Linked DNA regions of Drosophila melanogaster. The protein of the gene in region 2 interacts with the protein of the main gene of each other region in a pairwise test. Each region holds a gene or a part of one and is shown on either strand. Other genes may lie near its edges. The genes, in order: btz and CG7483.

The links.
Region 1: the proteins of CG7483 (region 2) and btz interact in a two-hybrid assay, tested with the Drosophila melanogaster proteins (one study listed by BioGRID).

What each region holds. Positions count from the first base shown.
Region 1 is NT_033777.3:27,698,654-27,704,254, reverse strand, and holds btz (barentsz), read right to left. Parts: upstream 3,831-5,601; 5' UTR 3,671-3,830; coding exon 1,322-3,670; coding exon of another isoform or gene 1,187-1,321; 3' UTR 810-1,186; downstream 1-809. Other genes in the region: CROT (carnitine O-octanoyltransferase), read left to right, coding at 1-342, 399-531; ALiX (ALG-2 interacting protein X), read left to right, coding at 4,276-4,487, 4,702-4,820, 4,888-5,169, 5,525-5,601.
Region 2 is NT_033777.3:8,311,284-8,315,364, reverse strand, and holds CG7483 (uncharacterized protein), read right to left. Parts: upstream 2,158-4,081; 5' UTR 2,028-2,157; coding exon 1,895-2,027; intron 1,835-1,894; coding exon 1,468-1,834; intron 1,413-1,467; coding exon 1,221-1,412; intron 1,160-1,220; coding exon 652-1,159; 3' UTR 501-651; downstream 1-500. Other genes in the region: Coq2 (coenzyme Q biosynthesis protein 2), read left to right, coding at 2-211; CG11698 (uncharacterized protein), read right to left, coding at 2,333-3,121; CG11694 (uncharacterized protein), read left to right, coding at 3,297-4,081. UniProt on the Drosophila melanogaster protein: ATP-dependent RNA helicase. Core component of the splicing-dependent multiprotein exon junction complex (EJC) deposited at splice junctions on mRNAs. Involved in exon definition of genes containing long introns, including the rolled/MAPK gene.

The DNA.
Region 1 (5,601 bases), about 19 Mb from region 2:
TTCCGCTGTGGCTGAATTCCTGAGGGCGTCATCCAACAAGCAGGTTGGCGATATGTCACTGGCCAGGGCGTTCCGTAGGGCAGTCGATGAGCACAAGCACTTCATGAACGAGGCGCGCAAGGGACACGGCATCGATAGGCACTTGTTTGGCCTGTGGTGCGCGGCGTATGAAAGCAAAATGGACATTCCCGCCTTCTACGACGATCCGATGTACACCAAGAGCGGCGGAGGAGGTAACTTTGTGCTCTCGTCCAGCACGCTGGGCTTCACGGCCAACGTTGGTTTCGTGGCGCCCATGGTCTTCGATGGCTATGGCGTCTTTTACTCCATCACCTCGGAAGCGTAAGCTAGACACTCCTCCATTATCTTGAATTGTTCTTTAATTTCGTACATTCTAGTGTGTTCATTAATACCACCGCCTATCGGGATAGCCTAAAGACAAGCGCTCGCAAGTTCAACGACATTTTCAAGGACTCATTCCGCCGCATCAGCGTTCTCCTGGAACAATTGGCCAAGGAATCCAAGCTATGAAAAGCTCATCTAGTATTAAGAAAAGATCTAATCTTACTTTATGTCGTCATTGAAATTCAGTTCTCATTTTTAGTTCCAATCAGAAAGTAGATTTTTGGTTTTTCTTTCCATTTTGTTTCAATTAGCACAATTACCTAGATTTTAACGAACAGTCGAATTTAAATATTTTTTATTTGAAATTGGATCCCTAGTTCAACCCACCTTTCACCGGAAACTAAGTGAAAACGCAGACTTCGTTGGTAGTTTGTAGTTTGACAGAAAGGGTGTGCAGCATTTGTAACTTCGTGTTAAACGTTTATTTAAATTCAATGATCGATTAGTTTTTGCAAATACATTTCTCTCGGTAATTCTTGTGTTTCAATTCTAAAATGCGGCTAAATAAGCTAAGCGCCCAGCCGCTTCAATACGTTAGCCGGCCCTAGATACTACGTACAAATTAATTGGAGCTTGCGCCGGATTACAATATATATATATATAATCGTCTATATACGAAAACTTTTCGTTAGTAATTTCGATTATCTGGGAGCTAAATGCTAATTACAAGTGGTTCTCACTGCGTTTCTTTATTTATGCAGTACTTTTTGAGTCGCAGACCCAAGGACAGAATGGGGGAAAAAAAATCGTATGAGTTGAGTTAGGAGCTGGGCTGTCCGCACTAGTGCGGCGGGGGCGGAGGTCGATAGTAGCCAGCGTGCGGCTGCAGCATTGAGTAGCCGGAGGAGGGCGGCGGCGCTATCCGTTGGCCTCGTCTCTGCTGCTGCTGTGGCGGCAAGCCGGCGTACGCCTGCACTCATTCCTGCCCAGTGGCCGGAACTGGCTGAAGGTTCTGCTCGGCAGCCGGTGGAGTGGCTGCCGCCTCTTCCTTTGTTCCCCCACCTGGAGTTGCGCCTTCGCCGGTAGCCTGGAAGGCCGAAGGTCGCTGCACGAACATGTTGTCAATGATGTGATCTATGTTGTCCGAGATGCCCTCCTCCTTCGCTCCACCCTTGACCTTATGCTTTTCGGAGGGCGGGAGAATGGGAATCGCGTTGGTGGGACGACGCTGGGGCAGAGCACTTGGTCGGCTAGTGGTTTGAGCCGGCGGTACAAAGTAGGTTGTGCCACCGACCGTGTTGTAGTTCTGATACGGCTGAGCCGGCTGCGTTGCGGGCGGCGCCTGAGCGGGCGGCGGTGTGGGTTGTGTTACAACCGGAGGCCCTGCTTGGGCGTACGCCACGGCAGCCGGAGTGGTTGGCAAGTAAGCGGCACTAGCCGGATTAACATACGGTGCCTGGGGAACGGGCACTGGAACTGGCTCCGTTCCGGTCACATAGTACGGTGCCGCCTGTGCTTGCGGATATGCGGCTGCCGGCGGGGCATGTGGCTTTGGTGGTGTTGGAACTGCTCCTGCGGCAGTAGGTGGTCCAAGTTGCATGGTCTGCAGTTGGGCCTGCAGCTCCTGTTGCTGATAGGCGATCTGCATCAGAACATGGGGGTCCTGAATCATGATCTGCGATTGTTGCTGCTGCTGTTGCTGTTGAAGATGCAACTGCTGCTGCATCTGCTGTTGCTGCTGCTCAGCCAAGTGCTGTGATGCCTCCTGCTGTGAGCGACGCAAGCTGGAGTAGCGCTTGGGCGCATTTCGTTGTTCCTGATGCAGTGGCTGCTGCTGCTGCTGCTGAGGCGCCTGATTTTGGCTAGCCAGAGAATGCATCTGGACACTGCCCACATGGCTGGGATCATTGCGTTGCTGCACCTGCTGGAGCCGCTGCGAAAGGTTCGACGTGGAAAGCGGCGTCTGTGGAGACTGCTGCGGCTGGGACGGCTGTCGTTGCTGCTGTGGCTGTTGCTGATGATGAGGTTGCTGCTGCGGCTGTTGTTGTTGGTTGGAGCGTGGAGTGGATGGCTTCTGGTTACGGTTGTCCAGTTGGTCTGGCCCCCGCTCCCGCTCTCTTAGCTGCTGTCCACGGTTGTTCTTCTTAAATTCCATGCCATTCTGACGTCCGGGGCCGCCGTTCATCCGCCCGAAGTTGCGATTCTTGGGCTCTCGATCGCGTTCCCGCTCCCTTTCCCTCTCACGTTCACGCTCCTGGGATCTGTGTGGATTGGAGCTACTGGCCAAGGGCTGTTGCTTCTCTGGAACCAAGCCTTCAGCAGCGACGGACCGTCGGTTTTCCTTTTCCTCACGCGAGGATGATGTTCGTGGACCACGTGGCTTTCTTTCGTTGAGCGCCGGGAAGTCCTGTGGCCGCGGCGGCTTGCGCTCCTTATTGCTGGCTTTGAGGTAGGCCTGCTCGTCCTCCCAGTTTCTTGAGTATTTACTAGGCCCACGCGTATATCGCCGGCGACGTCTGGCTCTGGGTGGTGCGTCCTCGTTTCTAATGTCGTAGCCGTATGTTTGCAGCAACTCTGCACGGGATTTGGGAGCCTGCTCCGTGGCCTCGAATCGATCGTGAGACCAGCGATCACCGCCTGAAGCTGGTTGCCATTTTCGCATGGTCTTCGATGCCTGTGAGATCTGTGGCGTTTGGCCAGTCGGCGTGGCACCGGCGGCCGCAAGTCCATTGAGTTCGCCATTTGGCTCCGCCGCCGCCTGGCCAGCACCGTTTTCGGGTTCGATCAGGATTTCTCCCTCGGTCTCCGCCGTCCGATCGTCGTGCTCGTAGAAAGTGCCCCGCTTTGGGATGTACTGCGGATTGCTGCGATCCTCGTCCACCTTCTTCTGGGCCTCACTGTCTGCGACGGAGCGGTCCATCGCCTGCTCCCCTTCGCCATCGTCCGTTTCGCTGCCCACCTCATCGTCCTCGTCGTCCGTCTCAGATTCCTCCTCGCTCCCACTGCCACTGGCGCTGCCGCTGGCACTCTCCTCGTCGTCATAGTCCTCTCCGCCCTCCAGATCACTGGCCGTGTCGTACTCGGAGTCGTGCGGATGCGAATTGGAGTTGGGCTCCTGGGTGGGCGAGGTGCCCGGCTCGACGTCCACGGTGGTATCCGCTGTGGGCGTTACAGCCACTGGCGCCTCGCTGGCAGGTGCAGCCGTGGCCTGGGGGATGTCGGTCGGGGGCGTGGCCGCCGTTGGTTTCTCCACTTCGGCCATCGCGGGGTCTCTTCGGTTTTCTGCCTCGCTACTGCTGCTGCTGCTTCTTCTGCGGAATGACATAGAACGGGATTCTAGGTGTCACTGGGATATCCAAGCCAGGGCTCCGTATATCAACTCACGTGCGAATTCTTGACAAGGCCTAACTACTCTAGTAAGCGTGCTTCTTGTTACGGTAAATTCTAAGAAAAAACCAATAATTTCGCACAATTTTCTCGACAACAACGCAATCAGAAAATAGAAAGTCTAGGGTTACCTTTCTCTCGCCGCAGAGATGCCACACTGTTGAAAACGTAACGACAGGGCGAGAAACGTAGCAATGTGCATACGTATTGAAATAGTGGCAGCTCTGGTAGTTACCGGTTCATGTTAGTAATAAAAAACATATAGAACATAGAACATAGAAAAAATATTCTATTACTTTTTTTTAATAGTTTACAATATTAAGTATCTTTGACAAAAATTCACCTTTGAAGTATAGAACTAAATCCTTAGTATTTCTTTAGTGGCTATCGAAAACGGTATCGACGGCTGGACATCGCTGGCCAGCTGTTGTAGGGGAAGGAAAGAGAGCGTAAAGCGGAGTTCGAATAGAGCGACAGACGATTAATTAATATCACTTGGAATCAGAAGTCGGACAAGAAGCAGACTCCGCAGAACAGGAAAAGATGTCGAAGTTTCTGGGCGTGCCGCTGAAGAAGCCGTCGGAGGTGGATGTGATCAAGCCGCTGAACAATCTCATCCAGAGCACCTACAACGGTGCGTCGGAGGAGGAGAAGGGCAAGTACGGAGAGGCCGTCAACGAATTTTCGAAACAACGCAATACGGCAATTTGGAAATTCTTTGAAAAGTACGAGGCTTCGCTGGAGATTGTGTACGCGTAAGTACCACCATGTCTTTGTGGCCTTCTTCCGGGAATCTCCCGATGAGTCACCCGCACAACGGGGCAGCTAATCACACCCATTCCATTCGATTCGATTCCACCTGGTGCTTCTGTATTGGTGTGGTGGTCAGACGTAAACAAGCTCTCGGATGACGTAGTCGTTAACTAAATGTTTTGCCTCCGGGTTTTGTTGCCTGCTCTGTATTTCCAGCTATTATGACCAGATTTGTGCGCTGGAGACCAAGATATCGGTTAGCGAACTTCAGATACCCTTTAAGTGGAAGGATGCCTTCGACAAGGGCTCCATTTTCGGCGGCAAGATCAGCCTGAGTGAGTGATTCATTGCCATGTGCCAAGTATATTTCACCACTAACCCAACGGCATCCACCATCCACAGCTCACACCTCCTTGCTTTACGAGAAGGTCTGTGTGCTCTTCAACATTGCCGCCCTGCAGAGCAACATCGCTGCCAACCAGTCCCTGGATTCGGATGACGGCCTTAAGCTGACCATCAAACTGCTCCAGCAGAGCGCCGGCATCTTTCAGTATTTGAAGGGAGCGACGCCAGCGGCAGTGCCCTCGGAACCCACGCCCGATCTCAGCCAGGATACGCTAACCGTGCTGCAGGCTCTGATGGTCGCCCAAGCGCAGGAGGTTTTCATTCTGAAGGCAATTAAGGGTATGTAAAATTAATTCACAAAGAGCACGAACACCGTTCACATTTAAATGCTTATCTATGAGCAAAATTTAGTTGTTTACATTGGGCGATAAACTATTTTATCAGGTAAAAGCGTCTTTGGCATACAATAAAAGCACTCAATGCAATATTTTTCGGACAAAGCTTATCCGAAGATATTACTTTTGATACGTGGGGACATTACCCAGTTATTTCCTTTGAAATTATATGATAAGAACGATTGAAATGAATCATTCCATTCAACAAAAATAATGTACCAATCAATGGCTCTAGAGTAATGGAAACACATTCCGCTATGAATCGAGGTTAACATGTTCAAGTATTTACATTCCGGCAGATAACTTGAAGGACCAGATCATCGCCAAGCTTTGCTGCCAGGCGGAGGAGTCTTACGCCGATGTGCTGCGCGCTATG
Region 2 (4,081 bases):
GATCTATTCCCTCAACATTGACAACCCCAGCGACTGCGCCAAAAAGTTCATATCGAACCACCAAGTAGGACTCATTCTCTTCCTCGGCATTGTTCTGGGCACCCTTCTGAAATCAGACGAAAGCAAGAAACAGCGACAATCCTCACTAACAACATCGACGGCCAGCTCGTACGTTCCAGCGCTGCCGCAAAAGCCAGAAGTTTTAAGCTGAGATGAGCCAGACGAGCGTAGATTGTAGTGTTAAATTATGTTTATAGCGCGCTTTTTGATTCGCCAAAACCAAAGTCTCTAGGTATCTGATTAGATAAAATCTTGTAAATAGGCTTATGACCATTTTTAGCTCATTTGCAATAGGTTAAGTCTTAAAGAATATTACTAAGTGCACACCTCACTTAAACATCAATTAATTCTTAATTGTAAGTGCCCGCCTTGACGTAAGAACTTACGTAAATCACCCATCCCCTGAGCCCTCCTAACCCATTTGAAAAGCAAACTGGTTTCTGTATTAAATTCTTACGTGTTATTTATTATTATTATACAGATTTTGGTTGTCTATTGAAATTCAAATACTCTTCAAATGTATTTACTTCATTCGTTTGTTGTTACGGCTAGGAAAAGTGCGTTACATAAAAGTAATGATAGAATATTAGTTTAGATCAAGTCAGCCACGTTCATGGGCATCTCGTCGATTTGTGTGGAGTAGTACTGCTCAATGTCGCGCAGGATGCGGATATCGTCCGATTTGACAAAGTTAATTGCAACACCTTTGCGTCCGAAACGACCAGAACGACCGATGCGATGGATGTACAGCTCACGGTTGTTGGGCAAATCGTAGTTGATGACCAGCGACACCTGCTGTACATCGATACCCCGAGCCCACACATCGGTGGTGATGAGCACTCGCGACTGGCCGGCTCGGAACTCCTTCATGATCTCGTCACGCTCCTTTTGCGGCATATCGCCGTGCATCGAGCTGACTGTAAAGTTAGCCTCGCGCATCTTCTCCGTCAGCCAGTCCACCTTGCGTTTCGTGTTGCAGAAGATGACGGCCTGGGTAATGGTCAGAGTATCGTACAGATCGCACAGGGTATCGAATTTCCATTCCTCGCGCTCCACGGCGACGAAGAACTGCTTGATGCCTTCCAGTGTCAATTCGTCACTGTGAGGGAATGGAATTTATGAATCATACTGCGTATATGGGGGAGCATCATATTGCTTACCGCTTGACCAAGATGCGAATCGGATCTGTCATAAATTTGGAGGTCATCTCGAGTATCTCGTGGGGCAAGGTAGCTGAGATGAGCACCACCTGGGTGGCTGGTGGCAAGTAGCGATACACATCGTATATCTGTTCCTTGAAACCCTTATTAAGCATCTCGTCAGCTTCGTCCAGCACTAGCATCTTGATGGCTCTATAAAATGTACTTATAATTATAATATTGTTTGATCGGGCACAATGAAACATACCTTGTTCGCAGCACTCGTCGCTTGATCATGTCGAAGACTCGTCCTGGAGTGCCGCTCACAATGTGTTGACCGTAGTCCAATTTGCGGATATCCTCGCCCAGGTTGGTGCCACCGATGCACACATGGCACTGGACATTCATCATGTCGCCGAGGGCAAGAATGACTTTCTGGATTTGCACAGCCAACTCGCGAGTGGGCGACAGGCACAGAACCTGCGTCTCCCGCAGCGTGGTGTCCAGGCTCTGCAGGATGGAGATGGAGAAGGTGGCGGTTTTGCCCGTGCCTGATTGTGCCTGGGCAATCACATCCCGTCCCTTGACGATAGGCGTAATGCTCCTTTGCTGAATGGCCGAGGGTTTCTCGAAGCCTTGGGAGTGCAGAAAACTGGATTAGTTCTAGACCGGCCATAGGTATACACACCACTCACCGTACGCGTAGATGCCGCGTAGCAGCTCCTCCTTTAGATTCATGGCGTTGAATGTGGGTATCACCTCCACATCCTCGCTCGTCTCGAACTCCACGTTGGAGAGGTCCTCCGCCTGGGCATTCTTGCGCGCCATGTTCACGATTTGTTCGCGTGCGGTTTCGGCTGATATTAATAAATATTTACAGTCTTTTTCGGCTAATTTTTCTGACTTTCACAGAAAAAAATGCGGTCCGCTTACTAGGGGTGGCCTATCAATTGCTTAGCAACAATCGATTATTGAATCGGCGTCGATTTAATTTGATATCGATATGTTTTCACTTATTTTGCGACAAGTGGCAACACTGATATCGGGCGGAAAAAATTTAAAGTGAATATATGTTCTTATTTATTGTATTTTATAAAATATAAATATGATTATTGCCATAACAAACAAGAAACTCAACTTGTTTTTTCCGGAGTGCTACTTCTTCTCCTGCGCAGGAAGTTCTCGAGCGACTGAAGATCCTTTCGCTTCAGCATCTTAATCCTGCTCACCAGTTTTTGCAAAGCTTCGATCCGTTGCTGTGCTTCCTTGGCGGCGTCGTTGGCCTTCTTAGCGCTCTGCTTATTTCGCTCCAGATCCTTCTGAGCCTCGCACATGCAGCTATGGAGCTCTTCCACCCGCATCCTGGCCGCTTTCAGAAGGCTGCGCTTTTCCAGGGCCTCTTTCTGGGCACTGTCGGCCATCCTCCGGATGTTATCGAGATTTCCGCCCATTTCCTTTAGCATACTCTTCATAATGTTCACGGATGTGCAGAGCTTGTCACGGATCCCCTTTGCCGACGTCGCCGAGCACGAGCTGGCAGCAATGGCTCGTTGGATTTCCTCGATAACCCTGTTCGTTTCTGCCAGACTTTTGGTGTATTCATCGAGGAGCTGCTTCTTCCCGTTGAGAGCCGCCTCCGCAGCCTTGGCCGCCTGCAACGCCCTGTCCGCCAGCATTTCCCGTGCCCTGTAGCCCGCCATCTCCGCGGCACATGGCTGCGCATCCTTGGCGTCCTTCGCATCCTTGGCCGCCTTCGAGGCCACCTGGCTGGCTTTCATGCTCGTCTTGCAGGGAAGGGAGCCGGGCTTGAAACGCGGATCATTCCGCTGGGCAGGATGCGCGGCGGTCGACAGCAGGATGTTCGAAAGAAGCAACATCGTAACCAGGGAGTCGCAACGCATTGGGAATCTTGCATCGTACATAAATCTCAAGGCTCATCAGGAAATCGAAATGTGGAGATAATAATGGGAATATAGCAGCTCCACCTTTCAAATCACTATTATTTGAAATATTTGTACAGTAACCACAAGTTACCTGGAGTATATATTTCTTAAATATCTTTAGAAATCCGTTTAATACAACTATTTCGAGTTAAGCATGGAGATAGCACGAATCGCATTTCTACTTTTCTTCCTGTTCTCAGATCATTCTGCGGGCCACAAGTTGCCGCAGTCCTCCAATGAGATAGCTGCTCTAATGTCGGATCATCATGGTGATGGCGACAACAGTGTGTCGTCATCCTCCGGCGGTGCCCCGTGCGACTTCAAGATGAATGGAAAGACCAGGGTAAAGGCCTCATGCATTGCGCAGAAGGCGGCCAAGGAAGCCATGGAGGCATCCGATGCCCAGATAGAGGCTGGCGAGGCAGCTGCCCGCCAGGTGAAGCAGCAACTGGCCGACAAAGCGCTGGCCGCAGCCAAGGCGGCAGAAGCTGCTCTGGCCGGCAAGCAACAGATTGTCGAGCAACTGGAGTCCGAGGTGCGCGAGGGGGAGCTAGTGGTCCAGGAGGAGAGCACCTTGTTACAGACCACCCAAACTACTTATGCTGCGGCCGGGCAAGCGGCCAAACAGGCGGCAGATCAGCTGAACACCATTACGCTGGCGGTGAAGAATGCGCAGGATAATGTGGTCAACTCGGAGCACGTGGCCAGTGGCGCTCAGCAGGAGCTGGGCGAGAAGCAACAGCTTGTGGAAGCGGCCAAGAAGCGGGTGGAGCTATTGCTCCGCCAGCTGGAGGTGGCCCGTGTGGATTTCAAGAATACCAAAAACGCCGCCGAGAAGGCAGCCTGTGCTGCCCAGGAGGCCAGGCATAGGGCCACCAGGGAGCGCAGGAGGGCGGAACTGAGGCACTTACTCTGGCTGAAGAGGGGGCGCACCAACTG